Drosophila melanogaster: one gene and its partners. The protein of the gene in region 4 interacts with the protein of the main gene of each other region in a pairwise test. Each region holds a gene or a part of one and is shown on either strand. Other genes may lie near its edges. The genes, in order: Zif, CG18764, HP5 and ranshi.

Region 1 (7,792 bases), 2.3 Mb from region 4:
AAGTCGGTGTGCCACTGGATGGCTGGTATGCTGGAGGCATGGAGATTGGGTGGGCTGTCGGTTGCCGGCAGCTTAAACCAATTTACGTGGCCGATGTCTTCATCGGGACCGGGAACGGGACCGGGTCCGCATCCGAATCCGTATCCGTGAGTCGTGCGCCGATTGTCGTGTGTCATGAATTATTGCGCCTCCCGCAAGCGGCACAACTGTGCGTATGCGTAATTTGGCTAAGCGGACTGGACAAGGTCTACTGGGCCACAGTTCCACGCCCCATGACTATGTGCCCCGCCCTTCTCGCTAATAAATTTCACATAGATACGCGAACGTATAGATATTTGGGAAGCTAGAGTTCTTGGGCCGAAAGCGAGTATAATGTATACAGCCATAAACGTAAATATGTACATATGTATATATAAATTTATGCCCTTTTGTTTGCAGTCGAAATTATTTCATTTGTTTGCGTTTATTACGGCCAAATCTCATCCAATGTCGGGCCATGTTTGAAGGAAACATCGTTCGTTTTCCACAGCGTTTACTTTTAATGGTTCGACGGCTTTTTTCGTGGGGATTTTCCACATCTTAACTTTGGCCGAGACCTACAAATATTTGATGCTTCAGAGCGTCAGTTGTTTCGGGCTTTATTGATTGGCGGTGGCGTGCCTGGTTTATGGAGCATCCTTCCTGCCATCCCGACCCCTTTCCTCCAGCTCCTCCCCCCGCCACCGTTGATTGCTGCCCTTGTTTTTGCGTGGCTGTCAAGCGTGTATGTTGCGCTACATTAAAGGGGATTTCTCGGCATTTAAATGGGTTTCTCTTTTCAAAGCCTAGTATTTGTCAGGGGTGCGATTAGAAGTTGAAGCAATTTAAATTGCATTTCGATTTTTTGATCAGCGAATTGTGAAAAGTTCAATTAAAAATGTATTTATTTTCTCAAAAATCCACAACACAGAAAATGAGCATCTAACTCCATTTAATACTATTATTTGTATATACATTATATATATATATTTATTTATTATTTGAGTCTTTTTTAAGCACCAGGACGGGAGTTTTAATACCCTTGCCGAGGGTATTCTGATTCCAGTCAGAAGTTTGCAGTCAGTAATGTAAGGCATTTGGTCCAAGAAAAGTATATACATACATATGTACATGTATGTACTATCTATTGCTTCTATATTCATTCTTCATATTTCTATTCGACTGTTTGCTACCATATAGAGTATATATGTATATTCTTGATCAACAGCAAAGTCGATATAGCCTTGTCCGTTTCAGAGTAAACTTGTTGATACTTTCCCAAAAGTAGTATAGATTGGATAGGACCAATATATTTCTGCAACAGGATTTTCGAAAAGTATATAAAAATGGCCCTTCGTTGTTGTTAGGCATTAAGTGTTATAATTTTAAAGAAACCCGTCATATGATAAGATATAGGAAATATAGAACATTTATTAAAAGTTATATGGACATACTTGTGAAAACTATTTGCCTTAAATAACCCTGCATTCACTGGTGAATCACCGCTAAACAAAAACTTCGAGCGCTAATCCCCACTTAATTTGTATGACAACAATCGATGATTTTGACATTGACATGACCTAGGCAATCATAGATATGAAAAAAATCACATAAACACCGCTAAAAGAGCGAAAATTATCGCTTTTAATCACCGATTTTTAAGCGCACTTTAACGTGTATGCCATCGCTCTATTCTTCGCTTTTTTACCTCTTTTTAATCGGATAAAAATGGCTTCAACTTGCAGCGAAAGCCAATATATATCCACCATACTGCATACTAAAACTTTTAAAATTGTAATAGAATAATTTAAAAATGTAGGATTAAACTTAGGTTTAGTGTTTTGTGTAAAGGGTTTCTTGACAGTCTCAAAAGTGTGTAAACTTGGAATTTGTTGTTTATTTTCTTTATTTAAAATTTTTTTTTTTTATTTATAAGTAAAATAAATATTGTTTAATTATATTTAATAAAGAAATTGCGTTTTATTAATCAAAGAACTCTTAATTTGTACCTTTAAAGTCAAAAATTCAACTTATTTCCCAGTGTGTAAACAGTTTCTTGACAAACTGTACATTTTTTGTCTTTGCATGTTCCGTTTGTTTTTAGAAGAGAGATCGCGCTCGAGAGATTCGGAAGAGCGTCGGCTGTGCAGCCGCTCTGCTGGCGTGGCCGATGATTTTACGATGTTTTTTTCGTAGCGATTAAATGGAACTTCTGGGTAATTACAGCTAATCTTCAAATCGAATATATTTCATTGTGTAATTTACCAATGGAATAAAACGATGTCGCCTTCTCACCTCCATCCTCGTTCTTTGGCGGATGCTTCGACTATGAGCAACTAATTTCCTCGGATGAGGCAACCGCAAATGGAAGAGCATCCTGTTGCACATGCATTAACCATGGCATCACGACATTATGCTAACTTACACACACACTCAGTGCTGCACCGCATACGAGAATGTCCATACATATGTACATACATACTATGCACATATACAGGCACAGGGAGCTCATCAAGTCTTCCGGTTTGTCGAGGATGTTCACATTGTTTATGCTCCGGAATAAATGAATATAAAGCATTTAGTTTACAGCTGCCATTTGACAAGCACTGCCCCAGTTTTGAACGAGTGGGCTGAATGGGGCTGGAATTGGGTGTTCTTGGTTTTGCATCTTCTTTAAATAAAATACATGAATTATGCAGAATTTTCGATGGGAGCGGGCGAAAGTGACTGTGGAAAAGGGACGAGTCGCTCCGAGACGAAATCCCAACTTCCTCCTTAGCCACTTGGCATTGACACAAAAACTGGAAAACCAAATTATACAATTTAAAAACATACTGTCATTTTGTACTTCTTATGAATTGTTATCTTATCTCTGTGATTTTTTTGGAATCAGGCATAACTCTTTGGCAAAGTATGCTTTTGAAATGCTTACAATAGTTTGTCAACCGGTCAGGCAGTTTCTTAAATTATTTGTTAATACTTTTGCTTTTACTTAAGCCTTAGCTTAACGCACAAAGTTCTTCGACTTTTCACCTGCTTCGTAAGCAAGAAGTCGTTGGGATTTTCCAACGCGGAATTTGCAATTCAGCTCGTAAACTTGCTGATTTGTTTGCCACAAAAAAGGTGGCGGGACTTGCGTGATGAGTCAAGTCCCGACTTTCCCACTCGATTTCCACAAATGCAAAGTCAGGGCCAGGTCAAGGACGGAGGTGAGCTCCTGAAAAGGGTTTTTTTTTTTTTTGGCTGGTGCGGGGGAAATAAATTTGCAATTGATAGCCTGGACTGGCTCGTAATCAGTTTAAAAGGGCCGAATCTCAATTTGGCAATTGAGTTTGGATGGCTGCGGCTGTGGCTCGACGTTCACACCCATAATCCAATCGTTTGAAGCGCTTTTATGGATTCGACATGTCAAATCGCGTGCAAATTTGTTAGAATTGGTTTTCCCAAGCTTCCACATTCCGCAATCTCGCCACTAGGAAAAATATCATAGCAGCTTCAAAAGGAAAAATATTGGATACCATTTTGAATTTTAGAAATTTGTCATGATTATAAATATCACAGAAAATAAGTTTTAAACTCCTTTTCTAAACCAAATTTTGGAATAAATAATATGACTAGCGCCTTGGTTACCTATTTTGAATTATTGTACCCAGCTTTGCTTGCAGTGTATCACCACCCGTAATCAAATACAAAGCCCCAGGGGCCGAAAGGCTTTACCAGTCCATAAGAACATTTTTTGTTTCCGCTAAAATGATGATATGATACACGGGGGAGTTCAAAAAAGGAGACAAGCGGCCAATGAAAAAAAAAAACGCATTCAAGTCATGTAATTTCGGAACTTCCTTTGATATTGTACATTTGTTGGTGCTTTGCATGCGCTAGGTGCAAATTGGGTTTTTTCCAATTTCATTTTATATACCCACGGCGTCATGAAGCCACCCATATTTATTGCATAATTTTCAGCATAGCTTCCCGCGCACACACATTGCGAACATTGATTGTGGAAATAACTACGGCCAGTTGTGACTTTTACCAACTAGCGTACAACTAGATTGCCAGATTTTCTCGGGCGTGTTACATTTCAAATTGTATTGTATTGTATTGTATGTATTCAAATTATCAAATAAATTAATTTTATGAACCAAATTCCACATGCTGCTAAAACATCACATACGTTTGATATTCTATTTTTAACAAAAATAACCTTTATTTACGTATGAAGTTCATTCTTACAACTATGAATACGCTATCCGTTAGCGTTTAAGCTAGTATTACTGATTATAAGGGATTATATCTGGAAATAAGACAGTATACTCTACTGAATTTGATTGCGTCAGTGAGCTTGAATTCGGATCTCGTTCCCGCCCCCCTGCTCGGCCACCATTTCCACCTTCATGCTCTCGGCCAGCATTACGGCGTTCTGGTGCAGTTTGGTCTCCTCGTGCTGGCGCATGTGATGCAGCAGACGGAAGTCCTTGTTGCAATAATCGCAGCGGTACAGTTTGATGTCCGAGTGGATGAGCTCGTGCTTGGTCAGGGAGTGAGCGTAGGCAAACGCTTTGTCGCACACCTTGCACACGTAGGGCTTGATGCCACGGTGAACACTGATCGGAAAAAGAAAAGTTAGTTATCTCTGTCCCGAACTAGGAATATATTTAAATGGCCCATTTTGAGGCCTCTCCGTGAGAATAACATTTCTACTCACTTTTCATGAGACTTGAGAACACTTTCGTAGAAGAATTGACGACTGCAGAAGCTGCACTTATAGGGTTTGCTGCCCGTGTGGGAGTACATGTGCTTCCTCAGTTGCTCGCGCACCTGGAACTTGGCATCGCATAGTCTGTGAAGGCGGGATTAGGGTTATCGCTTTAATATGAAATTTACCGACTCGACTTACTCGCATGCATATTGGCAGATGCCGTCATGGCGTCTGCGATGCTCCATCATCCGGCCGCGCTTTTCGTAAAAGTTTCCGCAGACGTCGCAGATATAGCCACCCTTCTCAGTGCCGTCCGATGTTGTTAGGGAGTTTAATCCGCGACGAACCCGGCCGCGCCGCGCCTTCAGGCTTGCCTTGGCCGCCTCCTGCAGCGCCAACTGCTGCGATGGTGTCTCTTCGTACTGCTTCTCAGACTCCAGGACGATCTCGGTCTGATCGGAGTTCATCTCGATGGTGTAGTTGTCCTCCAAGTACTCGATGGTGTCGCCAATGCACTCCTGCTGATCGCTGGTGTCCACTTCCAAGTACTCCTCGTGCCCCTTTTCTTCCTGGTGCTCCTCTTCCCCGGTGGTGGTCTCCTCCAGGATGTACATCTCCTCGTCGCATTGCTGCTGCGAGCCGTCCTCCTCCTTGATCATCATCACATCTGATTCGTCCAGCAAGCCCAGTTCCCGGCAGTACTCCTCAATCTCCATCTGCTTGCGCAGCGCCTTCTCGCGAAACTGGTAGGCCATGTTGAGTTCGACCTTGCAGGACTTGCAGATGCCATCGGGTATGTGTTCTCTGTCGTTCAGCTGCATGAGGGATGGATGGATGAATGGTCAGTTCGCATTGCCAGCTCTAGCGATTCACTTACATTGCTGTATGAGACTCCCAAAAGTTGAATCAACATCTCGTTCGGCGATTCCTCGCCTTCCTCGCGGATCTCGTCTAGGCGCTGCAGTCGCTCACTCTGCGCCAGGCAGACCCGGCACGTCTGTGGGGTAAGCTCGACGCGCATTCTGGAATCCTGCTCGAAATTTAATTTAAAGAACCGCTCGCGTAGTATTGTAGTGTTAAAATTTGTGTTGCTAAAGTGTTGTGTAAAGCGACTGAAAAAAGAAACGAAAAGACATCGCCATTTTCCTTACCAGGGCTGCATAGCATCGGCGAACACGATGTGGTTCATTTTGCTGGTTCCGGGAAGCGGATTTTTGGTTAAATATCTGATAAACATGTTTGCTGCTTGTGACAATACATTGGAAATATTTGTTCCTTTAACCATGGCTAAACGATATGATATGATAACTGAAAGTATTCCCCAGTGTGCCTATAAACACAAACAACTTGTAAAATGAGAAAGAAAATATTAATACTTCAAATATTCAAATATTATGAAAACAATTATATATATATTTATATATTTCTTTCATATTTACGTATATTTAGATAGAGTAAAGAATTCAATCATAAAAATACCAACGTCTTACATTAAATATTATTTAAAAAAAGGCCTAATGCGCTTAAATTTGCCTTATCAATAGAAAATATTATGTCCAATACTGACAATACATCTCACCAAAGATTTAATTTAGCTAGGAACCAGTTCTCTATGGCTCATTTTTTTGACCAGTGGCGATAACGATGACAGCAAGATCACTAAAAGACTAGCGTTGCATGTTTATCATATACAAGCTAACATTGCGTAAGGTGAATCTGCAAATTATATACAAATTATTAGTAATTTACTCATTTATTTATGCGAAATCGCAAATACAACACCGTGTTTACATCCGAAAGCTCTGGCAAAAAAAGCACATTTCTTAATGCAGCCGTCTGGCAACGCCACATATTTTTCGAGACGCAGAACGCAAGATATTTTCTTATCTCTCGTTAAAAAATGGATTATTTCGGTTCAATCGGTGCGTATCTGGGAAAATCGCATGCTCGTTGGCAGTAAAGAACGCCACGCACTTTCACGTCCCACGCCCAGCGCACTCCCGCCTGACGGGAAAATGGGAAAGCAACTATATCTGGCATCCGTATCTTCGTCCGTCGCAGCCGTCAAAATGTTCGTCGCGCCAGTTATCGACTCGGCAATCTCCATCTCCTAAGGCACACACACACTCAATAGAACGCAGTCCAGCACTCACACAGGCAGCCACCTACGTAACCTGGCAGCGGAAGCGCCCTTAATCTTGGCCAGAAACCACAGCAGGCAGAAAACAACGAGGGAGCAGCAGCAGGCGGAGGGAAACGGAGGCGCCGCTAGCACTAGCACCTAACATGTCCGAGAAGCACGGCCAGCTGGGTGCGCAGTGGACGAAATCAGCGGCGCCAGCAGCAACAACAGCACCAGTCTCCAATTCCATTCCCATACCTCAACCGATCCCTGTGGCACTACCCCTCCAGAAACCCAACGCCAATCCCTATGGGAACTGCAGCCTACAGCCCGCGGATATAGTCTACAGCGCAACCAGATTTCAAGGACCTGCTATCCATGCAAAGGGCTCTCCTTTGACCATTACGCCCGTGGGCCCTGTCGGCGGAGCACCTGCCTCTGCCCAGATCTCGCCCACGAGTCACACCCATGTACCTGTACCTGTAGCCACGCCCAGCGGCTTTGTGCCGCCTCCGTTTTCCAATGCCACCAGCGCCAGTGGAGGTGTCTCCACTTCCGTACTTACTCCGAATCCCTTTGCCACGGCGAGTGCAAATGCTGCTGGCCTGGCCTTTGCCAATGCCTTCAGCTTTAGCACAGCCCAGCAACTGGGTCTGGGCAAGATCATGCACGCTATGGGCGGAGCTACTGCGGGAGTGCCATCGGCGCCAGTACCAGTCACCACGACTCCAGCGACAGCTGCTCCTTCGACCCCAACAATAGCTGGTCCACGGCATCCGAACGAGGGCGTTCCAGCGGCCAGTGGAGTGATAAACTCCACCATTGCTGAAAACGTAATGAATGCTTTGAGCAACTCCAACTCAGCGGGATCAGTTCCCAGTGAGGAGAAGATGAGAAGGGTGCTGCAGGTGATTGAGACCAGCTTGGAGTAAGTGTTGTTTGAAGAATCCTAT
Region 2 (7,515 bases), 2.9 Mb from region 4:
TCAAATGCCGATTCAAATGCCAGAGCAGTGAATTAAAAGTAAAAGGGTTGTCAGGTACGCGGAATTAGTAACAGTTTTCAACTATCATTCCAAATTTTTTTGCATTTAGTTCTAAAACTGTATTTTTATTGCGTGACTCAAGCTTAAATATTTAATAGGGCCCACCTGTTAGTTTAAAAAAAAAAATTAAGATTTAATTATTATCAATTATTCAATCGATATGCCGATAGCAAGTTCGATAGCCATTTATCGTTTTGCGTACATGACAACCCTGGGAAAAGTTCCAAGACGCTTGTTTATTTCAGAATTGCAAGCATACGTACGTCCAGGACGTGCAAGATAATGCCCGAGTACATGTTGTGCCGAATCTGCTTGACAGAGGACATCAACTCGGAGGCGATGGCGCCCCTGTTCGATGACAACGACGCCCAGTGCCGGGAGCTGGTGCGCAAGATTGAAGAAGTGGGCAGCATAAAGGTACATGTGGATGCAAATGTAAAATCCTGCGACTTAACCCACTCTGTGCTTTCAGCTGGTGCCGCTGCAGAACATCCCCAGTATGTTGTGCTACAGCTGCGTGGAGCGACTGACCAGTGCCCACAAGTTCCGGGAGCTTTGCCAGGAGAGCGAGCGCACATTTGCCACCAATGTAGTCAAGGTACGTATAGAGTTGATGGGCCACATATAAACATCCCACTTGACCCGGTACCATGTCAGGCCGAGATGAAGTCGGAGCCAACGGACGAGGTGCCGCACGTAGTGGCTGACAACATTGAGTACATCTACGAATCGGCCAACGACTTCATCGACGGTGTCGAGGATGACATCGGAATGGAGAACATCATGGAGGAGCCCCTGGAGGATGGTGTCGGGGAAACGTCGCAGGCCTACGAGACTAGCACTGTAGTGGACGACCTGGACGAGGATGACTTGCTGGTGCCGAATAGCACCGATAGCGACTACCAGCCCATCGAGCGCTGCCGCAAAGCTAAGGTGCGTAAAACGCGGATGACTAAACGTGGACGTGGCCGACCTCGCGGTGCTAGCTCCGGACACCCACGCAGTTTTAGCGAGGAGCGTCCGCCTGTTCAAGCTAGCTTCAAATCATCTCCCGAAGTATCCTCCACGAACATTATGTGCGAAATCTGCGGCAATATCTACTCCAAGCGAGCCGCTCTCAACATTCATATGCGTCGTCATATGGCCGAGAAACCATTTAAATGCGAGTGAGTATCTGAAATTATCATCTGAACCATTTTATATTATGTAAATCTTATTCCGCTTACAGAATATGCAGCAAATCCTTCGCGGGTCCATCCGAGCTAAATCGCCATATCCGCGTTCACACGGGCGAGAAACCATTCTTGTGTAAATATTGCAACCGCTCGTTTGCGGATCGCAGCTCCAATATTCGTCATGAAAGGTGAAGATGCAATTCCTCATAGTAATCTTCATATAAACTATACTTGTTCCTTTTGCAGAACACACACAAACGAGCGACCTTTCACTTGCTCCACATGCGGCAAGGCATTCTCCTACTCTAACGTGCTAAAAAACCATATGCTCACCCACACGGGCGAGAAGCCTTTTCTGTAGGTCCATTGACTGCTTTAATCATGTATAACCCTAAATTCCCTTTAATTTTTCAGCTGTCGAGTCTGCAATAAGACCTTTTCCCGCAAGCACCAGTTGGATCAGCATTTGGGCACCATGACCCACCAACAGACTGTAATACACCACAAAAACGAACGGACGGGGCGCTATTAGTCGAAAACAATGCAATACAATTTCTGTTAGATAATTCATTAATGTACATTTAATTATATATAAAAATTGTAAAATAAAAAAGAGTACAAATGGTCAGACCGGATGTGTAAAATAATCGGATTTGATTTATTACTATTTGGTTAAAGAACTTGTTCAAAAACACAAATATTTTTTGTAATGTTTTTTATTACGTCCATATATTCGAGAAAAAAATTGGAACACGATTACAATCTTTGATTTTGTGCGTTTATTTGGTAGTTTTAACATCATTTTGGCCATTAAATGAGTGTGCGTTTTTTATTGTTTCTTTTCTTTGTGCTCTGTCGAAGACTTTGTTACCGTTTGTGGAAGCTACAACATGGAATAATAATCGAATGGCACAGGATTAATTAAATCTTCTTTTTTTGGACAAGTAAATATGTTTTGTTTTTTTAGGTTTATAACTTGTAACGTTTTACATCAAAATCTAAAAACGTTTGGAAGTCGGGAGGGATGCGGCTCTTCTTCTATTCCTTAGGGAAACAAAAAGTAAAACCAAATATGCTAGATATTCGCATAAAATGGATTTATGCGAATACCTGTACTTAAATGTACGTCTACCTTGTTAAAGAAAAGGACGCGGAATTTTAGAATTCTTACCGATAGCTAATTAGTGTAATGGCTAGATAGGCAGCTTCATTGTTCAATGGCTAGCTCCGTGAGTTTCTCTTCTTTGCGTTTATGAATATTGCTGGACAGGTGGGTCATCAAATGGGAGATTCGTTTGAAGTGCTTCTGACATACGTAGCAGCTGTAAAATCAAAGTGTGTTGAAACGTGTAATACAAATAATGTGCAGAGTTGGCAGAAATCGAAATGCCCACTAGTGATTCCGCGCATCCACATGGATCATCTTGTGCTTCCTGAGACATCCGGAGCTTACAAAACTCTTTTTGCACGTGTCGCACTCGTAGCGGCGTTCGTTCCGATGGCGGCGATGGTGCTCCTGGCGAGCGCCTGAAGAGGAGAACCGACGTGGACAGTAGACGCACACGTATGGCTGCTCGCCCGTGTGGATACGCGTATGGCTAGTCAGTTCCTTTCGAGTTGCAAAGCTCCTTTCACAATTCCTGAGGAGAAAAATCGTATCTTAGGTGCACTAGCCCAAAGGAGGTTAAGGATAATTTACAAAAAAACACAGTGGAAATTCTTGATGCCTGTGTGCCGGAGCGTGTGCTCTTGAAAGTTTGACTTATTGTTAATGATCCTTCCGCAATCAGGGCATACATATGGACCAGTACCTCCTCCAATTGACTTTTGATGGTTCAAACTAGTCGGTGCTGAGACCTTTTCAGCACTTGGCATTGGAAGATCTTTGACTTCAGGACATAGAATGGACTCGTCCAACTCACTCTCAATTTGGTTATCATCGATGTCTTCGTATATTATTGGATCTGTGGAGCAATCCTTGCTGTCGCACTCAATCCTTTCCAGATTCTGTTTCTCGGCAATGATGCAGCGCTGGCGGAACTTAATGGCTGCCTGCAGATTGTCCAGGCAAGTCGTGCACATTTGGCCGGATATTTCTTTCTTGCAGCTTAGCTGGAAAGTATAAATAGCAAATTAAGTGCCATGATTAAGGAATATTTTTAGACATATTACCTCCACCCCAGTAATGGAGTGAATTTGACGAACTAGATGACCGTTTCCTGGACCAAAAAGGTCTATTGGGGCATCTGATCTAGAGCAAATGCGGCAATTCAGAATTCGCATCTCGACTTTGATTTGTTTTTGAATAATTGTTTACTGTTTACGTTTCGAGCAGCTTATGCGAAATGTGTCGTTAAGCTATTTGCATGGTCACTCTAACTTTTGCACGCATAAACGCTGTTTAGAGTTTTTGCACAGGGATTAGTACCTTATGAAGTAACATAAATACAAATATGTTTTATAATCTCATTTAATAAGAGTACCATAATGGTTTACTGCACTTTTTAAATCATTTAAGTCACACAATGGCATTGCCGCACTTATCGATTTTGTCGATAATAAAACCAGCTGTTGCATCACAATATATATACATACATATGTGTAGTGGATGCGTTTACAAAACAATTGGTTGTTTATATTCGAATTAAACTGAAGTTGGGCTAAACTTCGGTTGATTTTCAACTAACATTATGGCGCTCCAGTGCCGGACCTGCGGCAGCATCATCTACAATAAAATGCCCAAGAATCTCTTTCATATTGAGAACGAGAAGATGCTGCAAGACATAAATCTTGTCACTGGCACAACAGTATGTAAGAAAAATGGTTTCCATTTGATTTGTGCAGCATTTTCTGTGATTGCAGCTCCACAACGATCCAGAGCTGCCCAGCAGCATATGCGCCTGCTGCACGCTTGACTTGAACCAAGCGATTTTGTTCCGGGAGCGGTGCATCCTAACGCAGAAGCAGCTCGTCCATCGTCGTAGATCTCCCGAAGCGAAGGAACCGGCTGAAGATGTTGAGGAGATGGCATCACCGCCGGATTGTCTGAACGATCCATTCGGGGAAGTCGATGAATACATTGTGGAATCCCCAGAAGAAGTTTTGGATCATGATAGTGATGCTCATCATGATCTGGATGAGGATAATTATATTGATTCTGTTGAAGATGTTGATGCGCTTCAAGATATGGCTGAAGTAGCCGAAGAGGATTCTCAAGATGTCGAATCTCTGATCTCAAGTGTACAGAAAGAACTTGAGAGCATTTGCAACGACGACAGCAACTCGGATAACAACGATTACATGGAGCCCCAAAACGGTTCCTATTTCAATGAAACTATAAACGAATATGAAGTATCATCGAACCCAAACACACCGCTGCCCGAATCGAAGAGTGCAGCAGGTCGGTCAACGAAGCCAGCGACCACAAAACCCAAGCGGAAAAAACAGTACGTTACGTGGAAAAATATGACCGAGGAGCAGATCATAGAGCGTAAGCGACTGCAGCGTAAACGCGAGTGTGTTTGCGAACAGTGCGGCCGGCAATTCACCGACCAAAGCAATTTCAAGCTTCACATGCTGCGGCACACGGGCAATAAGAACTTCGCCTGCCAGCAGTGTGGCAAGCGGTTCTACACCGACCATCTCATGACGCTGCACCAACGAATCATTCACCAGGGCGAGAAGCCATACGACTGCCGCTTTTGCACCAAGTCCTTTCACAATAGCAACACTCGCCTCATCCACGAAAGGTAAGGGACGTATCCTTGTATCCACTACGGATTCGGACATTTCTGAGCTCAAACCAAAAAAAATCCTTTCTAGGACTCACACCAATGCCAAACCCTACAGCTGTCATCATTGCGATAAATGTTTTAAGTCAGCTTCGGGACGCAAGCGGCACGAACTAATCCATACAGGAGTGCGAGCCTTTGCGTGAGTATTTTTTGACTAGGCGTTGGTATTCCAAAATTTAATACAATTCCCTTTGCAGCTGCACCATCTGCAAACAATCCTTCCAGCGCAACACTCACTTAAAGGCCCATCTGCGATCTAAATTTCACACTGCAAAAGCGAAAACCATTGGTGCGGAGGTACTACAATTATAAGCTGATATAGTATTTAAATTAAAAAACAAGTATTAGATATAAGAAATAAAGCAATGTTTTCATTTAATTGGAGTGCAAACATTTAAATTGCGATAAAATTTTATTAACCCGATTTAATAATCGACACATGCTGCAGTGCAGCCCTGCCAATAAGTATCCAAGGTGGCAATCCTGACATATTTCAATATAAATTTGGAGTGAAAATAAGAATTTTTATTCAAGTTTACACGTCTGCCCGAAACTTCCAAATACATTTGACGGAGAAAGTATTAAACATTATTTTTTATCTTTAATCGTTTATTTAGCCAAAGGCTTAAAGATTTTGGTATATTTTGGCGCTTCACCAACGGTCACACAGTAACCATTTCCTATGAAATTCACATTGCATTTCTCTTTAGAATTAATAAAACTAAAAAAAGAAAGAAACGAGATTGCACACAATCGTTTACGACGAAGCTTGATTCACCCGCCAAAAGTGTTCCCCTCCGCCCGACTGCACTGTGAGAATACCGGTTGTTGACCTTCGGCAGCATGGAGCGTCGTCGCTTTAACATGAGCAGCATGTCACCCATGGCGGATTCCACGCGGATTGACGCGTCGCTGTTGTAAGACACCACCTGTCCAACTGGATTCTAAGCGGTTACTAATCAAATTTGCTCTCCTTTGTTCAGAAACAATCGTCCGGCGGCCAGTAATTTCCTGAGGGGACTGAGTCCCAAGGGGTCGAATACCTCGCTCAATGGCACACGCACTCCGGAGCGGTCCTTGATGAATCGCTCTGCCACATCGTCCAGTACCATAACGCGACAGAAACTGAACCTCAGTCAGGTTGATCCCAGGTAAGTCAAAGCTTGTGTGCCATTTCACGATGTGACGAAAGTGCAATATCAAATTTTCATACCTTTCAGAACCTTTGCCGATGTGCATAGCAGCGGACTGTCATCCCGGATCGTGGCCTTAAGCGAACGCAGTGGTCTGCAACGCAGCATGTCCGCCAGCAATCTTTACAATCCCTTGACGCAGCCGCGCAGAGCGCCCGCTTCCCCGTTGCCCTACAAGTCAAGGGCGCCGACGCTTTCGATCACGCAGATTGCACCACCGGAGCGCAGCTTTTATTCCGGAAACACGCTGTCAAGCCTGTTGCGATCCAACTCCTTGGTAGGGTTAGTGCCAAAGACCACCGAACAGGAGCAGCTTTCGAGAGAGAATCGACCCATATTGCACCCACCTCATCCACAGCATGAGAGCGAGCCAACTAGAAGCGTGTTGGAGGAGCTTAAGGAGATCTCCCGAAAGCGCATCAACACTGAAGTAAGTATAAGCCATCAATCATCCTATGAGAAGATCACCGGCTTACACTTGGCTTGCTTTCAGGATACGCAACAGGCTCAAGACTACACGAAAAGGAGTTGCCAGCAAAACGTGGACTTTGTGGACTTTGTGGCTCATCACCGTCAGCAACAGAAACTACGTAATTTGCAGCAACAACAGAATCAGTCCTTTAAAAGGCAACGAGAGCTGACGGTATCGGTTCCGCTCAGGCATCATTCGACATCTTTGTCGGCTGCTTCTCCTGCATTGCAACATATGAACTCGAATGGAACCATCTCCCCAACACAATCTCCGGAGCAGGTAGCCAAACGTCCCAATTGTAGCTACAGCAACGACATCACTTCCTCGCTGAGTTCCAGTTGCCGTCACAGCAACAAGAGGAAGCTGTTGGACATGCGAGAAAGGTTTCAGCACAGCAAAAACGACACACTAGCTAGTGGAGGAAGCTCGCCTGAGAACTCGCCCGAAAATGTTGCCAAAATTCAACGTAAAGTTGATGCAGAAGCTGTTAGCAAGGCAATGAGCATGCCCGTCGTGACTGTGGCGGCAGTTCCTGCTTCACGAGCCATTTCGGCTCCTGCCATTCAAAAGGCAGTTCCGCAGGTGACGGAAAAACCTAAGCTTACACTCTTCAATGCGCGACAATCTCAAACGATAGCGGAACAGCCGCGACCCGATTTGAGTAGCCCGGAAGTAGATGCCGGCGAATATGCAGGCATTCAGTTCGTGAAGCCTAAACAGCAGAATTCCATGCTGGCTGCCAAGAACCCTAGCGTAGAACGCACACACAAGACCAAACTAGCCATTATGCTAAGTGGATTGAAGGGCGAACTGTACCTGGG
Region 3 (10,393 bases), on a different chromosome or scaffold from region 4:
TATTTTCAACTTTTGTTAAAACCAATATCGAAGAAAAGACGATGGGGTTCAAAAGTTTTTGTCGCTGGTCAAGTGACCGAAACTGATTTCCGGCAACGGAAAACATAGAGGAAAAACTGTGCGAAAACTTGAATGACATGTGATATGCTGATGTGGACACTTCCGCTCACGTCGCAGGATTCATTTCCGTTTAAAGGGTTAAGTAAGTGGGTGCGAAATTGCAAACCAAAAGCCGGAGGGTTAATTTTTCAGTTGGCAATATTTTTTATGCCACGTGGCACATAATTTAAGTACGATTACCATTTATTCATATAATTATTATTTCAACAGCTTAAATGCATTTTTCCTCCGTTTATTGGGATAAAGAAAAAGATCAAGCGATTGAGGCGTCGTGAAATCGGAACATAAAACAAATGCCATTCACCATGTGAATTTGAATTCGAAATAAATTTGATGAGCCATTTAAGTGAGAAGTGCGCATAATTGGCCAACATGTGGTGTGTGGCCAAGAGATTGAAGGGTCCCGTCCCGAACCGTTACGTTTCGTCCGTCGGAAAATTCGGAAAAATTTAGCTAGGGCGTAAAAGGGGGTGGGGATTCCTCGACAATCCATATGAATGCGAATGTGTTGCCTGATTAATGCATGGCTCTCCGATATATCAGCGAGGTGTTGATTGGGCCAAGATAATGCTGTTCGATTTCCCATTCGACGTGGCCGAGAATAAAATATCGAAGAACTCAAGGCGCCATGAATCATCATTAGTTGCCAAGGCAGTCCGTCGATGGAAGTACATTAAAATAGAGTCACTTTGCTAACAATATGTATTTTAAGTTCGCCAGCTCAAGTCAAAGGATGATTATTTAAGCTAATCAAACCATCTTTTAATACATTCAACAGAAATCTACTAATCTGCTTAGGAAAAACACTGATTATCGGTATAAATAGCCTGCTTTAGATGCTCCTTAATGATGGCTACCTCCATCGTACTATATATCCTATACATATCAGACATTCTCGATAAGCTTCGACATTCATTCGTTTGGCTCATTTAGCCCGTCACCCACACCATCGTATCCATTTCGCAGTGGCCAATTGTTGTAGTCCGCGGAAATTGAGAGGCAATATAACAAATACCCACCCGGCACGACACTTGGCCATATGTCAAGTCGTGGGACACAGCAATTAGGACTCCTGGCTGCTTCAGCTCCAACCTTTGCCTTGGATTAACTGCAGCCAGTTGTAGTTTGCAGTCGTGGACAACTGACGGCATCAGTTCCAAATACACATATGTACATATATATACAAGTATATATGTATCTAGAACTTGGCCAAGAGCTGAAACCACGACGTCATTGGCGAAAATGTAAATGTTTAGACAAGGCCAAAAAGGCCTGGACGTGGTCCACATGATGCACTGCCTCCTGCTCCGCCAGCCAGACAGATTTGGGCGTCTGGATATGTGGCGATATATGTGTGCAGTGGCAATTAGGGGAGGCGGGGCACTTAAATGTACAAAATAGTTTTATGACTTAATTTTGGTCTAATTTTTACTATTTCCCACTGCAATAAATTTGCGCTCTGTTTGGGTTATTGTTTTTAATCGCATTGGTACAGTGCACGATCGTTGGATTCATAATTTTTTATATATGCAACATTTATTTGAAGGAAGGATATAGTGACTTAAATTTGTTGGCTTAAAAATGCATTAGAGGGATATTAAATATTTTCTTTTTAGGCCAAGTTAAATCCCCTGCTCGATTGGCCACTGTATTTATGTGTGTTTTGCATTTCTTTCTTGCTCCAAACAATTTGAACGCTAGCCATTTTTCGGCTTTTCGCCCAACAACACAAATCATTTTGCATGTTCGCGGCAGCCGCAAAAGGCGAGCCAAAGGTAGGGGGGGATGGAAAAACAAAAATAAATAAATAAAAACATATTGAAAATAATTAAATATTTGCCTAGTTATGTTCGGGTCTGCTGGGCACCGAACTGGGCACACACGTTGCCCCCCACCATCGCTTACCAATCCGCCCACGCCGCAGTAAATGGACAGGGAGACGAGCAGTCCGATGTGATTGAGCGCCGACTTCCACTTCATCGACTGCCAGCAGGCGGTGCTCCTTCGTCCGCCGGCGGTTCCCTTGGCCAAGCCACCACCCTCGGCGGCATCCACACGACGGTCGAGATGCTTGAGCTTCTCCAGCAGCTCGGTGCTGGCCTCATCCTGCGAATCGTACTCCTTCACCGTCACCTTCTTCATGGGCATTCTGCACTCCGTTTCTGATTGTTTTGGCCGGCCTATGCCTAAATTACTTGTGCTATCATTTAATAGTGTGTTTTTTTCTTTCTTTTGTTTATATCTATTTAATTTCTTTCTTTATTTTCTTTTTGGTTTTCAGGGGCCCGGCCCGCTTTGGTCCTGTGAGTTCAACATTTCGGGGGCACGTCTCACGCAAAGGGGCAACTTTTGAAATAGTTCGCACTCGCGCCAAACGATCTGGAATTTTGACGCGGCCCCAGAATCCCGAGGAGAACCAACCGTCAACAAGTCAAAGTTGCGACTGTTTTGCTTTTGGCGCTGCATTGGATACGCGGGGCTCTGCATGAAAGGTGGCCACCTTTGGGGGCAAGCGTGTGGCAACATGTGGCAACGTTGGCCGCGAAACTGAACGAACGTAAAATCGTTGCATAAATTCGAAATAATACTTATTATAATAAGAATATATAAGAACGGAAACGCTGAGCGATGGTTGCTTGTGTATAGAAACATTTTATTATATTAATTATATAATAGAACATTAATAAAAACGAGCTTAAGTTATCCTGTGATTGATAAATATATCAGAAAGTTAAGTGTGTGTTGTTCATAAAGCAAGATAACATCTTTCCATTTATCTATTCAAATTAGTCACAAAAAAATCTCTTTCTAGCACATTAAATTTATTCAATCTGTATAAATTAACTGTAGAATATTCTGTGAAAAAAAAAACATGTTAGGTAATAAAAATAACATCATTTTTACATAGCTTAAAATAAACGGTACAAGACTTTTCACAATATGGCAACGTCAATGTTCGAATGTGGCAACATCTTCAAATGGCGGCAAATTTCGAAAAAGTTTCTCAGCCAATCCCATTGAAAACTGGCAACATATTTTATCCATTTTTAATCTGTTTTCTTTTTACATACATACATTTTATGATGATGATGTACATTAATACATTGAACTTACAGTACATTTAAGACGATCCATACTTAAATATATATATTTATATTTATATATGTGCATGAACGCAAGTGTTTCTTAAATCTAAGTTGTCAAAAAAAAAAAGGATGAGAAACGAACAATACGTATTCTTGAAAGTCAAACTAACGTAACGCTCTGTTTAAGTAGCTTAAACATTGAAAATTGATTTTCTGATTCCGCTTAACCGTTAATAATATTAAAATATTAATTTTTACGGTCTATCGCACACATTTGCAAGTTGAGTGAGTGAGCTGTGTTAAATTTTGTCCCTGTTTTGCTGACTAATTTAGCAATCATATAAGTGCAAAATATTAACGTTTGCACCAATAGCTTTCTCTTGCAAAAATACTTTGGTATTTTCAACGTGAGTTTGCATATAAATTGAATATGTCTTTAAAAATAAACGTAAGACTACTTCTTGATCGTAGGGAGAACTAATTATAAATTCAGTTAAATGTACAAATTAATCGGTCCTTAATAAACCTACGTGTGTGCGTGTGAGTTTGTAGCTATGTCTGTGTCTGTGTGTATGCTTCGGTTTCGATCTGTATCTGTCTATCTGTACTTGGTGCGCAATTTGCCAGCTTACTACGATTCTAACGCGGTCATTATTTCGTCCAGTGTACCCCTCGAGATGGCATGGCGGCTGGAGTTCAACTGAAAGTTGGGTTCTAAAAGGCATAAGCAGAGCAAATAGTTATTAGAAGGTGCATTCAAATTAACATTTACGAAAGTATGAAATATAAGCAAGTTCAAATTGCAACTGGAAATTGTGCATTGCCTATACACTTACACTTAATTAAGATACCCAGACTTAGAGAAGACCAGAGAAAGTACAAAAAATGCCTATTAAGTAGTTGTTTTAATGACAAATGTACGCAACGGGCGAATGTTCATTAAATCAATCAATGGAATGCTTGACCAATGACCAAGTGTCACTAGAGCTTTAACGTAAGAGTTTTTGGCCTCACAAAATAGAGAAGTTTCGTGAAAAGCGAGACTACTTGGCAAGAATTAAAGTAGAAAATGACGTACTTTACTGTCTTGAAGACTTAACAGTCCCCACTTGTACTCCCTAAGTATTCATGCTATTATTTGAGATTGCCTTGCGATGGAGGCGATCGTCTGGCACTCACCGGATAGCTGGTCCATGATGACGTCATCTAGCGTGGCCATGGGATCCTCCATGGGCGAGTAGTATGTCGTTGCCGTTGATCTGGATTCGCTGGTGGGTTCACCATTCACTGTCCTGGGCGCCGAGGGCGGGGTCATAAGCTCGGCCGGCAGTTCGGGTGAATCGATGGGATCACCGATGATGGTTGCTGCTGTTTGTTGATCCTCGTCATCGTTCGGCGCTTTGCTTGCTTTCTGCTCTGTTTCCTCAATGGCTTGTCCAGCTAGCAGCTTGGCGTTATCGCTGGCGGACTTAAAGCTGCAATCGGAGTCACCGGAATCGAGGCGACTGCGCGATTTGGGCGTACTCTGGCGGGATGATGGCGTATGCAATTGACGGACATCGTCCAACGACGTCTGGATCTCCAGCACGTCATCTTCGTTATCGTCAGTTGTGGACGGGAGCTGTGGTGGGGTCGGCAAGTCACTGAACTCCTCGGCATGCTCGACCTCGTCCTCTACTTTCTCAACCCTGTCTTCGTTCGTTGGTTTTTCTAAAGATTTGACGGCGTTATCGCTGATTTCAGCTGCATTTTCCTCCAGATTTTTCTCGTCCTCGTCTAGCAAAACTTCTTCTCGAGCATCTTCCGATTTTTCCTCCGAATTGTCAGCCTCTTTTAACTCTGGCATATCTTTTACTACTTTTTTTTCCTTCGCCTCATCTGTATTTTTCTCTGTTGCATCCACAAATTGTTCTTCTCTATCTCTTTCTACTTCATTTGTCTCAGTTTCGTGTGCGTCTCCCTCTCGCTCATTCGTTTCGATTTCCTTCACTGGTGGTTTGATTTCGACATCAGGATCGGAGGATTCAATTTCCACAACTGGTGAGTTTTCCGTTTTTTTCTCCTTTTTCGTTTGCATTTTGTCAGTCGTCTCCTTTTCGTTTAGCATCTTGTCCGTCTTTTTGTTTGATCTTTCTTTTAGGGGTTTTGGCTGCTTTTTTTGTGCATCCTTCTGCTTTTTTAGTACCGGCTTTTCGTCCTCATCATCACTGATGGTCGTGGTGAAGGATATCTTCTTTTTCTTGGGCGGAGGCGTTCCAGATCTCTGGGACCCCGGCACATCGTTGGGCACTGGACGTAAAAATGGAGAGAATTGCATTAGTTTTAGCTCAATTCTTCTTTAATTTGATTTGGTCAAATCCTGTCATAAAAATAACGAAATCATTTAATACAAAATGAGACATGATTAATGCGATTACATCGAGTTTGATGTCAGTTTAATAAGTGCATCCTCCTACCTATATACTCCTCATCGTCATCATCATTATCTCCACCTCCATCAGACCTGGAGGAGCTGTTGTCTATGCTTAGGCGGCCCAACCTGCGTAACTTGAGCCTTCCGACCACAGGCGTACCGTTGCATGAGCGGCGCCTAACCCGCTCGCGCGAGCCTCCAGAAGATGACGAGAAGAGCGGCGTGGAGGTCAGTGCTATGTCCTCCAGCACATTGCCAGTGGCATCCACACGCTGCAGTCGTGTCGGTTTCGGAGCTCCTCTCGATGAAAGCGAACCGAAAGTAGACCGACGTGATGGACCCCCGGGGCTGCCCAGAATCTCGACGGCCTCGCTGAAGGATACCGCCTTCTTGGGATACACCTTCCTGACAACTCCGTCGCCAATGGGAGGCGGTTTGCAGTCAGGCCACTTGGCACTTGGTAAACGCGTCCTCCTCACCTTCACCACACAGCCAAAGAAATGCGCGCCATAACGCTTAACCAAATCCGGATCGGTGTTGCGTCCGCGACTGGATAATCTCTTCGCCTTGATCTTGGGCTTGGGACTTCGCTTCAGTGCGGAGTGTGTGCTTTCAGAACTCTTGGCCAAACTGGGCGGCGGTGTATGAGCGCGCAACGAGTGGTTCAGAGCACGCTTTTTGGCGCCATTCTGCAAAGGAACTTTGATGTGGAAATTGGTCTGCGCTGTTGATGACTTTTGTTTCTTAGGTGACGTTTTTCTCTTTTTGTGCCTGCTACGGCCACTAGTACCGCTCTGGTTAACGATCTCGGGCACATTGATAAATGATGAATTGGCCAAAGATTCGACGGCCGAATCGATTTCTGTCTGTTTCAGGCGACGTAATAGCACCCGCACCTTTCTTTTAACATTCGGCGACTGCTGATCGCTGAACATCTTTTGCTGAGCCTTCGTCTTGGTGGGAACGACCACCATCGATTGCTGGTCCTCCTCGATGGCCTCGCCGTCGTCGTCAATGGACACTTTTGGCCTCTTGTTGTGCGGCGTCGATGCAGAGACAGTGGATTTCCTGCTTTTGTTTGGTTTTGAGTTAGCCACGCTCTTACGCTTCCTCTTGGCCAATGACTCGTCGAGATGGTCGAATGATGTTTCCGAATCAAACAGATCAATGCTGCACTGTTCGACATTCTTTGATTTTCTCGACATGCGCAAGTCATTCTCGTCCAATTGGTTTCCACTCTCCAGGAGGTCTGACAGAAAATGGAAAAAACGATTGGAGGTTATTAAACTTCTAGGATTGCCAGCCAATTTGCAGGCAAACAAAATTATGCTCAATTTACCATTTACGTCGATTGGCGAATCGGGCGGTATGGGCGACGGAGTGGAGAGCTTGGTGTCCACCGGATTAATAGTTTGCGGCGGCGGCGCCGCTTTGACCATATCAAAAATATCCATTATCGCAGGTTTCAGCCCTTTGCGATTTTCCCACGAAAATGAAAATTAGCAAAGAGCGCAGATTTACCGCTTTAAAATATACGGTTAATATGCGCTTACAGATGTGTGTTTTGCGCAATTAGTGAGGCCACTGTACCACGGACTAATTGTGGCGCGAGGAGCACTCGATTTGCCCACTTAATCAGCAGATGCGACTTTTAAAATCGCGTTTGCATTCAGGTAACTTTCCTGATTAATTTTACACACTCCTAAAGACGCCATCTAGCTGGTGTGCCCGTGCGCAGATACCGCGAAAATATTTCACCGCCTCGGCGCATTTTTATGGGTTATTTATGTCGCCAACAATCATTAACCACAAAATGTATTTTAAATTTATCAACAAATAGCCTATTTCCTATCATTAAACGACAAAGATCTTATGGACACTTTTCATCAATGGAATGCTGAACAACAACTTATTACTCTGAGCAACATAACTCCATTAAGATTCATACTTATCTCATATGGTTGAATGTTTCAAAATCATTTACAAACATGTAATAACAGCACTTGCAGCCCACTGTACAGGTTTGAGTCTGTGCTAAACAGCTATCATTGGTATTTTTGGTATTATTCAAATAATCGATAATGCAGTAGAAACTTTTCTATCGGTTATCAGCTATCTGCGCTTCAGAGAATTTTAGTATATGGTAATACTTATTTAGCGGCTTACTTCAGCTTTTGCGCGACGGTCACACCGCCAGTGGGCGAAAAAAAACATTCGTGAATTCACCGTCGTCGAACGAACGCTGTATTTTTTTCCAGTGCAATATTCGGTCGATGTATAACGAGTGATTGAATTAAAGTAGTCCTTTTAAAAAAAGTACTAGTATTTAAATAAAAATAAAGTCATACAGAACAGCATAGGGAGAGAGGGCGAGAGAAAAAATTGCTGCTGCTGAGGTGTGTGCAATTGCCTGTGCGTGTGTGTGTGTGTGTGTTTGTGTGACGTTTACAGCAGCAAAAAGTTCGGTAGTGTCGTCAAAATAATCGTGTATTATAAAGTTAATGCAAACGATTCTCGATCGGATACGAGTTGATCGCGACATATTGAGTTCGTCGAATGTGGAAAAGTCTAGCTGATTGAAAACGAAACGCGGATAAAAAAAAAACGATAAACAACGGCAATTTGTTGCTGCCGCAACAGCAACAACAACAGCAGCAGCGCACTAACGCAACCACCACCACCCCCTGTTCCAGCCTAACGGTTCATTTACAGTGGCCGAAGAAGCAGCAGCAAAGGTGAGGTTCCAGCATCTTTATTTATATTTTATGTGTCGTTCTTCTTCATCATCTTTACTTCTTCCGTAAAAAAACTCAATGTGTGTGTGTAAACATTATCAACGAAAAAAGTGGAGTGGGAAAAAATACAGAAACTTTCTTTCGCTGTCTGTGTGGGTTTATGCTCGCGTGTGTGTGTCTGTTGCTACCTTTTTTTTTTTACAAATTAGCGAAGCAGCAAAAGAAAATCGGGTACAACTAATTTTGTATGCTTAAATTTCGCGCATTAATGTAATTAAAAGCGTCCATTGTCCATTGTTCATCGCTCATTGTCCATCATCATTCATCATCGTTCATCATCGTTCTTTGCAGCTTCGCTGAGCAACAACAACAACAATGACAACAGGGCAGCCCTGCTCTTACTTCCTTTTCCATTTCCATTCCTATTGCCATTCCCATTGCTCATTTCCCATTGCCCGCTTCCCTTTCCCAATTCCTCTTTCCCAATTCGCTTTGCTCTTCCACTCCCACCGCATCAGCTGCTCCTGCCACTAGTTGTTGTTGTTGTTCCTGCTCTGTTGTAACCTTGTCTTGCTCTCCTTTCCTTTGCTTTCCACCCACTTTTCGTGGGCCCAACGCACAGTGGGAAAATTCAGCAATCGAGGGAGGGAAAAACTATTTGCCAGTTATAAAATGGAAATGGAAATCGAAGAATAATGACTCTACGTCCACTCTTCTGTAAACCATTAATTACGACCAATGGCTTAGTAATATTTAAAAATAACATCTAATCTTGTTCTCCAATTTTCACTGTGCATCTCTCCATCTCGCTCTAGCCCGCTCTGCGCCTGCGCATTGCCAACTCGGCGACACCTTGCAAGCAGCGTTGCCACCTTGCACATGGCCTACGTAGACGCAACGAACAGTGGGGGTGAAAAAACTAGCATTAAAAATAGTAAATTGCTAGCTTATTAAGCTTCATTGTTGTTTGTTTAATATGAATACAGTTAATTTAACGCTTTCATTGCATTAAAAACAAACTGGCTGCAGCGAATTTCGTCGAAACTAGCTAAAAGATTGCTGAACTCTTGTTTATCTGCCGGTCGTGATAAGCTTTGTATCCGTATGTAGATTACATATACGTGCAACTGAGGGCTTTCTGCTAAATTATATCGAGATCTTAAAGATGCCCAAAGGCAGACAAGTGCTCAGTTACTTTATACTTTACTTTGCTTTGGAAATGCAGCCATAGTCCTTTGACCTCTGCTGTACCCGACCCATCGCACTCAAGTCTTTTGTTTTTGTTTTTTTTTTTTTGTGCGTGGGGATTGTTGCGTGCTTATTCAAATTTCAGTTGTGCTATTTATTTAAATCACGAGCATTAAAACTAGTGGAGCACATAGAGCAGAAAGTCATCGTCATGTTAATTATGATCATAAATTTGCAGAGCTCGTGGGTGTGTTGGTGTATCATCCGTCATTATCTGGAGAAGGTTGGGGCAGGATAGCCTTCATTCTGCCTTCTCTGGCCAACAAAAAAAAAACATATACATATATAAAAAAAAGATAAATAACAAAAGTCAAGATACTTTTTTTGGGTTATTTCAAACGGAATTCTTTTTGCGTTTAGCGGGTTTTTCAACTATCTGCTCAAGTGTTTTCGCCATGTTTCATTATTTGCATTGTTTTATGATATTTTGGCGGTTGTTTGTTGCTGCTTATTATGTTGCCCATTTCGATCGCGCGAGCTTTCGACCTTCGCCGCAAAGCCGCAAAAAATATATGTCAAAAATAATTTGCACTTGAGTCTGTTTCCCTATCGGCGTTTATTTTGTATTTATGTATGTATACATATTTTTTAACGGATCATACCAAGCGCTTGCCAACACGTTTTCGCGCAACCAAACTAAACGCAAATTAAGTAAGCCAACTGTGAAATTACAGTGATCACTGTGCAAAAAAAGACTCCGAAATAAATGCGATTTTGTTAACATTTTAAGTGCATTTTAAATTATAAAATATATATGTAATTACTTGTTTAAGCGAATACTAACTATTGGA
Region 4 (7,327 bases):
ACCTGCCGCGTATGCGCAAAGTATGCAAGCAACAAGCGGTCGCCGAAGTTATTCGAGCGGAGCAACACAAAGATGATCGACAACATTGAGGCGCTCACAGGCCTTCGGGTAAATTTTTCACTGCGGCTTTATGGAATTTATGTAGTTATAGCTTAATTTATTGGTGTTTAATCTAGCTGGAGAACTACGGTTGCCTGCCGGATCAGATATGTGAATGCTGCAGCATGGAACTGGCCTCCGCCGTTAAGCTGAGGGAGCGCTGCATCGCCGCCCAGCGTGAGCTACTCTTGGGATTGACCGAGGAGCAACGCCAAGGCATCTCGGCCTTCTACCGGGCGGCTGTCATGGGCGAGGATATTGTCCAGACGGTGAAGACGCCCGACGATGATGAGGTCTATGCCACTTATCAGGAAATCGTATTGGAAGAACCTAAGGAAGAGATCGACGACACCAAGGTAGAGTACGATAATACCTACTACGAGGTGGCCGAGGGACACGCCGGCGAGGACGACGCAGCCTCCTTGATTGAAGAGGCCGACTATGATTCCATAATGGCCGAAGACGAAGAGCAGCAGCAAACGTTGGAGCTGGACGAAGACACCGAGCTAATTGTGGGCGACGTCAACGACGCGTACGTCTACGATTCGGATGATGAGGTGGCCGTTCTTGACAACGTGCTGGATGATGAGTACGAGCATGAAAACATTGTCGTCAAGAAGTGTAGTCTGCCGCCAAAGCCAAAGGTCCGGTCGGATGATGCGCGTCGTCGTGGCACCGGCGGAGTATACATCTGCGAGCAGTGCGGCAATCACATCAAGGGACGCATGGCCTTTGAACTTCACTGTCGTCGCCATCGTGGGGACAAGCAATTTGGCTGCGAGTGAGTACATTTCTACTCCTTTTTGGATACAGTATGACTAAATGGATTTATTTTCAGACTCTGTCAGTCGCGCTTCTGCACAACTTCCGAGCTGAAACGCCACATGCGCAAGCACACCGGAGAGCGACCGTTTGCATGTAAGTACTGTGGCCGCTGCTTCACAGACTACACCACGCGCGTGAAGCATGAGCGTACCCACACCAATGAGCGCCCCTACGTCTGTGGTACTTGCGGCAAGGCCTTCACTACCGGCTACATCCTTAAGAACCATATGCTGATACATTCCGGCGAGCGGGCCTACAGGTACGTTGAGTCATACAGCTACACAGTACCGGGAAACCCAATAACTAGGTTTCTTAGAAATTCTAAGATCATATTATGCGGCATTACAAGAGTTTTCCAAAACCTTATGAGAGTTAAGATAACTAAATATTACTTATGTTGCCAAATTTCGTGAGTAATATTTAGTTATCTTATAATAATTTCTTATAATAATATGAAACTAGTGATACTGGTACAGTTACTGAAATGTTTGAAATGCCATCTAATACTGAATCTTCCCCTCAAGGTGCGAGCTGTGCGACAAGTCCTTTATGCTGCCCACCCACCTGAGCACCCACTTCCGGTCTGGCGTACACAAGCGGCATCTGGAGAAAGCCGAGATGAAACAGGTCCTGGAGCAGGAGCAGAAACGTGAACTCAAGGAGGAGGAGGAGGACAGCCTGCACATCTAAAGCTGTCCTTATAATATATACATAGCAATTACAGGCAATGCTAGACCGACAATGGCGCACAGCCAAGGAGCATTTCTGCAAATAATTAACAAACCAATTGTAATATGTAGAACTTAATATTGAATAATAAATCAAAACTTCAAATCCCAACTTATGAGCATTTATTTCATCTGTAAAAATTGCTTCCATGCGAATGGCAAACGGAACAGCTGATTGACAAGCATAGCATTGTTTACAAAAAGTTTGGCGTTTCAAACTTTTTTATCGGCTCAAAAATGGAAGGAAAAGTGTGTCGCACTTGCGGCAAGCGCACGAATGCTGAAAGATCATTGAATATTTTTGAAAAGCGCAATCAAACTACGCTGGAACACATCAAACTACTAACTGGAGCTGTGGTGAGAGGATAATAATGCGTAGTGTCTTTAACTTTCTAAAGTTTTTTCTCTTTACAGTTAAAGAACTGTAGTACGTTGCCAAATCGACTATGTGCGTCCTGCCAAACTTGTTTGCAACAAGCCATATCCTTTAGGGAACGCTGTTTGGAAGTCCAAAGGGAGTTGCTCCATTCCCAAGATGATGAAGACTTCCTTAGAATCTGCCAGGAATCTCCCAAAAGTGTCCTTGAGCAGGAGGAGTTGGAACTGGATCTGGCAGAAATAAGCATAGAAGTCGAGCGATTAGACGATCTCAATGAAGGGCCCATTCAAAGCTCCGGTTTTAAAGTGGAGGACATTCTAAATGAATCTAAAATCAACGAAGACGAGCCCAATAATGAGGACGATATTGATTATAGTGAAATGGATTACCTTATTTACGAAAGCGATACTGAAGTAGATGCAAAGCAGGAACTCAAATCAGACTCTGAGAATCCCAAAAAAAGGAGAAATCGTCGAAATCCCCGCGACTCCAATAGGACCTTCTTTTGTGAGGAGTGCGGAAATCACATAAAAGATCGAATATCATTCATACTGCATTGTAAGCGACATCGCGGCGTCAAGGAGTTTGGGTGCGAGTAAGTGGCAATTCTACTTAAGATTGATCCTAACTAATCCGCTTCATTTAAGATTCTGTGAGGATCGCTTCTGCACGCCGGCGGAACTTAAGCGTCACATTCGCAAGCATACCGGGGAAAAGCCCTTCAAGTGCAGACACTGTTCCCGCAGCTTTTCTGACTACAGCACTCGGTTGAAGCACGAGCGGACTCACACTAACGAACGACCTTTTGTCTGCAAGGAGTGTAACAATGCCTTCACAACATCCTATATTCTTAAGAACCACATGCTCGTGCATACCGGGGAGAAGGCTTTTAGGTAAGCGGGTACTCGAAATAGTACTTAAGTGTAATAATAATAATCTATTCTATTTGCAGGTGCGACCTCTGCGATAAGTTATTCAGTCGCTACACACACCTTACTACCCATTATCGTTCAAATGCTCACAGACGAAACATGCAGAAAGCAGACACAATCTTTGATAAACCCTAAAAGGTATCACTTAAGAAGCTCTTAGTTGAAAACGGTTGCATTACCAAAATAGGAATTTTTACAAAAAAAATCAAAACGGATAATCAAATTGTGAACTATATTTGGCTTTAAAGGTTGAGATGGACTCATTAAGGTCTAGTTTGTACTATACATTAGAGTGGATGTTTCCAGAGCAGCCAGGCCCAAAGACTCATCCTGCTCCTGCTCCGCGGGCAAAGGCACTTCTATCGTAAAGGCATCCGCCTCTGCTTCTGGCTCCTTTTCCGTCACGAATTTGACCTGATCCGCTGACTGGGATGGTGACAGCTGAACTCCACCCGCGTCTGCCATCGATTTCTCCAAGTTGTGCTTATGAGTGTTAGAGCGGAAGTGAGTCTTCAAGTGGGTGGGTCGCGCAAAGGATCGATGGCACAGCTCACATCTGCAAAGGATCGGCTAGGTGATCATTAACTTAAGCACTATTTATCATAGTTTACTAGCCTGAACAGGCGCTCGCCCGTGTGGATAAGCATGTGGTTCTTGAGGATGTAGGAATTGGTAAAGCTCTTGCCGCACTGCGCACAAATAAAGGGTCGATCATTTGTGTGGGTCCGCTCGTGACGCAGGCGACCACTGTAGTTGACGTAGGTGCGGTCACAGTAACGACACTGGAACTTGCGATCTCCAGTGTGCATCACTTGGTGTCCTTTCAGCTCACCGGAGGACAGGAAGCGGGCGGGGCAGAGTCTACATGAGAGCAATGTTACACAGTTAACTATCAGATTGTACAATTGACGAGCTAAAGCTTTTCTTACTCGCACTGAAAGGGCCTAATTCCGCTGTGTTTGCGTAGGTGACGGTCGAAGGAGGACTTCCCTGTAATATTGTTGCCGCACTGATCGCAAAAGAAAACTGGAAGCGTAACCTTTGTGCGATTTTCACCTTTCCCGCCTTTCTTAAGTCCCCGACGTCGGGTTCTTTTCAATCTGACCGGTGAGGTAGTTCCATCATCTTCGGTAGAGCTGGACATCGCTTTAATGGCCAGCTCCATGTCTGCTTCGTTGCAGGAGTCCAGGTGATCGATGCCATCATCCTCCTCATCGCCATTGCTCAGGCTCTCCAGCTTAATCATTACCTCCAGCGGACTTGCTGGCGTCTTTGGAGCGGTGTCTTCATGCCGCTGTCTTTGGGAACGGGCACTGCGACGAACTGAGGAGCGGAATGTGTCCTCTTCATTCCTGACCAGCGACTCTTCAAAGATCTTCTGACTCCTCAAGCAGCGATCACGAAAGGATATGGCGCTTTTCAAATCCGTCTGGCAGGTCTCGCACATCCAGTCGGGTAAACCGGGTTCGCATTGCAGCTGCCAAATAAGATACAACATTTTAATTGAAGGAATTAATGTGTTTCGTAGGGTAGGCTTACCAGAACACCGGTGAGCAAATTGATTTGTTGCAGCACTTTGCAGGCGCCGCTGTTAAATAGTTTCAACGATTTCGAGTTGTCCGTGCTGCTGGCACACACGCGGCACACATTTTGCAGCATTTTACCAGCTTACTCGATTCTAATTAGTAAATTTCCAATTGTAAACAAGACAGCCACCCAAAACTGATTTGCCATTTGCCACGAAGCAGCGCACTAGCTTTTCCACCTGAGACGTTGTCCAGCACTGGCGACTTATAAAACCACTAAATCGTAACGGCTGCTACTAATTAAAATCAAACAATCTATACAAATTTTTTGTTTTCTGTGTCCTACACACTTAAAAGCATTAGCATTTATTTCATTTTGAGAAACAGGTGTGGTGCAAATATTGAGTATACAACTTAAATTCATAAAAATACGATAAGATAAAAATAAGATAGTCCCCTTTTGGGTATCTTTTTATCTCAAGGAGCATGTAAATCTTATTATTTCATAGCTTGAGCTATTTAATCCTTCATGACTTCTGCTTCTTGACATTTTGGAGGTGCATCATGGATCTGGTGTGCGTTACCAGGTGCGCCTTTCTCTGGAAGGAGCGATCGCAAATATCGCATCGGAAATTCCTCTCGCCCGTGTGGATGACCATGTGGTTCTTTAGGACGTAGGCAGTGGTGAACTTCTTGCCACACTCTTCGCACACATAGGGTCGATCGTTGGTGTGAGTCCGCTCGTGGATCAGCCGGCCCATGTAGCTGACATACCGCTTTTCGCAGAAGCGACAGGCAAACGGTTGCTCCCCAGTATGTACCCGGTGGTGGGCACGTAGTTCGCCAGCAGAGAGAAACCTGGCATCACAATCCCTAAAAAGAGAATATGGAATCAGCATACCGAACCTACAGTTGTAATCTGTGAGCGAGGTTTACTTGCAGCCAAATGGTCGTTCGCCTCTGTGTTTTCTCATGTGGCGCTGGAAAGTGGGTTTCGATGTGGCATGAGTCCCGCACAGCTCGCATATGTAAATCTGATCATCCAGTTTGGTTGATACTTTGATAATCTTTTGTGAAGGTACACACTTCTCATCTATTCCATCTTCCCTCAGCTGCGCTTTCGCATCTCTATTCAGAGTTTTGTCCATGGGCTCCTCTTCAATCAGTACCTGAAAAGTTTCTTCAACCAACTCGCCTTCTTTCTTTTTCCCAAAATCGCTGAATGCGCATTTTTCCGATTCCAGTTCCGAATTGTCATTGGTATCTTCATCACCCGACGAAGAGTCGTCCTCGATGGTTAGCCATTTAGTTTGGGTCTTAATGCAAAGCTTCCGGAATGCCAATGCCGATCTGAGTTCCGCCTGACAGCAAAGGCACATGAAACCAGGAACATCGTCCAAATCCACCAACTGGTGCTGATATTATTTATCTCAATTTTAAAACGTCTTTTAACTCACTCTTAGTCCGCTTATCATGTGCAAGTGCTTTAGATATTTTCGGTTGACCAAATCGAAGAGATTCAGGCTCTTCTCACAGATTTTCTGCCTTCCGCAGACTCTACACACGATGTTCAGCATCTCGATCACTAAACTCGACTGATGGAAAGGCAATTGTATGGTGATTACATTTTGAGGCAAACCAGATAAATTATTCATTCAAGGCGGGGATTTTTGAAAGTCAAAATCTTTATTTAAATAGCTATTGATCTGTTAACAACTGGAGCAGTCTGATAAAACAGATACTGCTTATAATATTAAAACTTAATAATAGGTGTAAATAATATTGGTCAAATCGTTAAGCTGAACCATTTCATGGGTGCTTGAAATAAGTACGACCTGCATGCTAATAATGCGCAGGATCAATTTTTGAAAACAAAACATATAGCTTCATATTTCTGTTTCGGTAAATCGAAATAATCCACGTAAAATGTTTCGTAAAATGTATTTCGAAAAAGATTTGATTCTAAATTCAATGTTCATTTTTGTACCTCATGTCTGAATATATTTTATTTTAAAACTAGCCCAATAAAGTATGTATGTATAAGATAAGACTATATAGGCACTTTTGTTATATTCAAGGAAGCAATTGCAATGCAGATGTAAATTACGCAAAAAAAAATAGCAAAAACTAAAATTTGCAATAACATGGCCACTGTAAAGTGTTTTTTAAAAACTACGTGCTAAAAAAAGCTAAATTTGTTCCCAAGTTGTCTCTTTGTTGCTGAGTTTTAAGGAATTACAAAAATGTCACCAATATTTTTAGACCCATATTTGATATTGTCTTTTGTGGTTTCAGCTGTTATTAAGTCTTTGTGGGTTAGCTCTTACCTAAATTTTTTTTTTTTTTTTGGTATATTGATAAAACATATGGCATCTTGAGATGTATTAAACTTCCTGACACAAAAGGTCGAATTGCGACTGCACCAGATCCTCGTCAATGGAAGTGGTCAGTGGAGTGCCTTGGGACCAGGTTTCATCCGATTCAAAACTGAGCATGGACATGTACTCCGACGACGAGGTGACGGCTTCAGCATTCCGCTTGTGGGTATTGGAGATGAAGTGCGTAGCGAGATGTTTCTTCAGGCTGAACGAACGATCGCAGACATCGCAACTAAAACGGGAATGAAAGATTATAACAGAATGTATCTCGACATGTTTTTTTTTAATTTCATCAAGTACCTATACTTCCTTACAACTTGGTGGACCGCCATGTGGGCCTTCAGAATGCAGGTCCTGGTGAAGGCCTTGCCGCACTGATCGCACACAAATGGTCGCTCGTTGGTGTGGACCCGCTCGTGCTTCTTCCTGCCCACCACGGAGAAGTAGCGACGATCGCAGT

What was found.
Region 1: the proteins of ranshi (region 4) and Zif interact in a two-hybrid assay, tested with the Drosophila melanogaster proteins (one large-scale study listed by BioGRID).
Region 2: the proteins of ranshi (region 4) and CG18764 interact in a two-hybrid assay, tested with the Drosophila melanogaster proteins (one large-scale study listed by BioGRID).
Region 3: the proteins of ranshi (region 4) and HP5 interact in a two-hybrid assay, tested with the Drosophila melanogaster proteins (one large-scale study listed by BioGRID).

Annotation. Positions count from the first base shown.
Region 1 is NT_033777.3:6,455,233-6,463,024, reverse strand, and holds Zif (Zinc-finger protein), read right to left. Parts: upstream 5,938-7,792; 5' UTR 5,869-5,937; exon of another isoform or gene 5,809-5,868; 5' UTR 5,739-5,808; coding exon 5,595-5,738; intron 5,533-5,594; coding exon 4,916-5,532; intron 4,859-4,915; coding exon 4,724-4,858; intron 4,623-4,723; coding exon 4,352-4,622; 3' UTR 4,203-4,351; downstream 1-4,202. Other genes in the region: CG9727 (uncharacterized protein), read left to right, coding at 7,004-7,767.
Region 2 is NT_033777.3:11,623,069-11,630,583, forward strand, and holds CG18764 (uncharacterized protein), read left to right. Parts: upstream 1-3,820; 5' UTR 3,821-3,925; coding exon 3,926-4,042; intron 4,043-4,097; coding exon 4,098-4,984; intron 4,985-5,057; coding exon 5,058-5,168; intron 5,169-5,226; coding exon 5,227-5,341; 3' UTR 5,342-5,384; downstream 5,385-7,515. Other genes in the region: CG14711 (uncharacterized protein), read left to right, coding at 343-477, 533-658, 718-1,226, 1,289-1,423, 1,482-1,592, 1,650-1,767; CG6813 (uncharacterized protein), read right to left, coding at 2,443-2,557, 2,630-2,875, 2,935-3,347, 3,408-3,518; CG14712 (uncharacterized protein), read left to right, coding at 5,873-5,946, 6,013-6,180, 6,250-6,652, 6,716-7,515.
Region 3 is NC_004354.4:11,451,757-11,462,149, reverse strand, and holds HP5 (heterochromatin protein 5), read right to left. Parts: upstream 7,365-10,393; 5' UTR 7,074-7,364; coding exon 6,959-7,073; intron 6,869-6,958; coding exon 5,663-6,868; coding exon of another isoform or gene 5,637-5,662; exon of another isoform or gene 5,566-5,636; coding exon of another isoform or gene 5,534-5,565; exon of another isoform or gene 5,496-5,533; coding exon 4,386-5,495; intron 3,921-4,385; coding exon 3,838-3,920; 3' UTR 2,923-3,837; downstream 1-2,922. Other genes in the region: CG43155 (uncharacterized protein), read right to left, coding at 2,026-2,268.
Region 4 is NT_033777.3:8,724,223-8,731,549, reverse strand, and holds ranshi (ranshi), read left to right. Parts: upstream 1-1,856; 5' UTR 1,857-1,889; coding exon 1,890-2,009; intron 2,010-2,066; coding exon 2,067-2,626; intron 2,627-2,678; coding exon 2,679-2,924; intron 2,925-2,983; coding exon 2,984-3,098; 3' UTR 3,099-3,183; downstream 3,184-7,327. Other genes in the region: M1BP (motif 1 binding protein), read left to right, coding at 1-108, 177-880, 938-1,183, 1,449-1,614; CG8159 (uncharacterized protein), read right to left, coding at 3,234-3,519, 3,579-3,824, 3,893-4,440, 4,503-4,622; ouib (ouija board), read right to left, coding at 5,017-5,362, 5,426-5,898, 5,947-6,066; nom (numerous disordered muscles), read right to left, coding at 6,874-7,099, 7,168-7,327.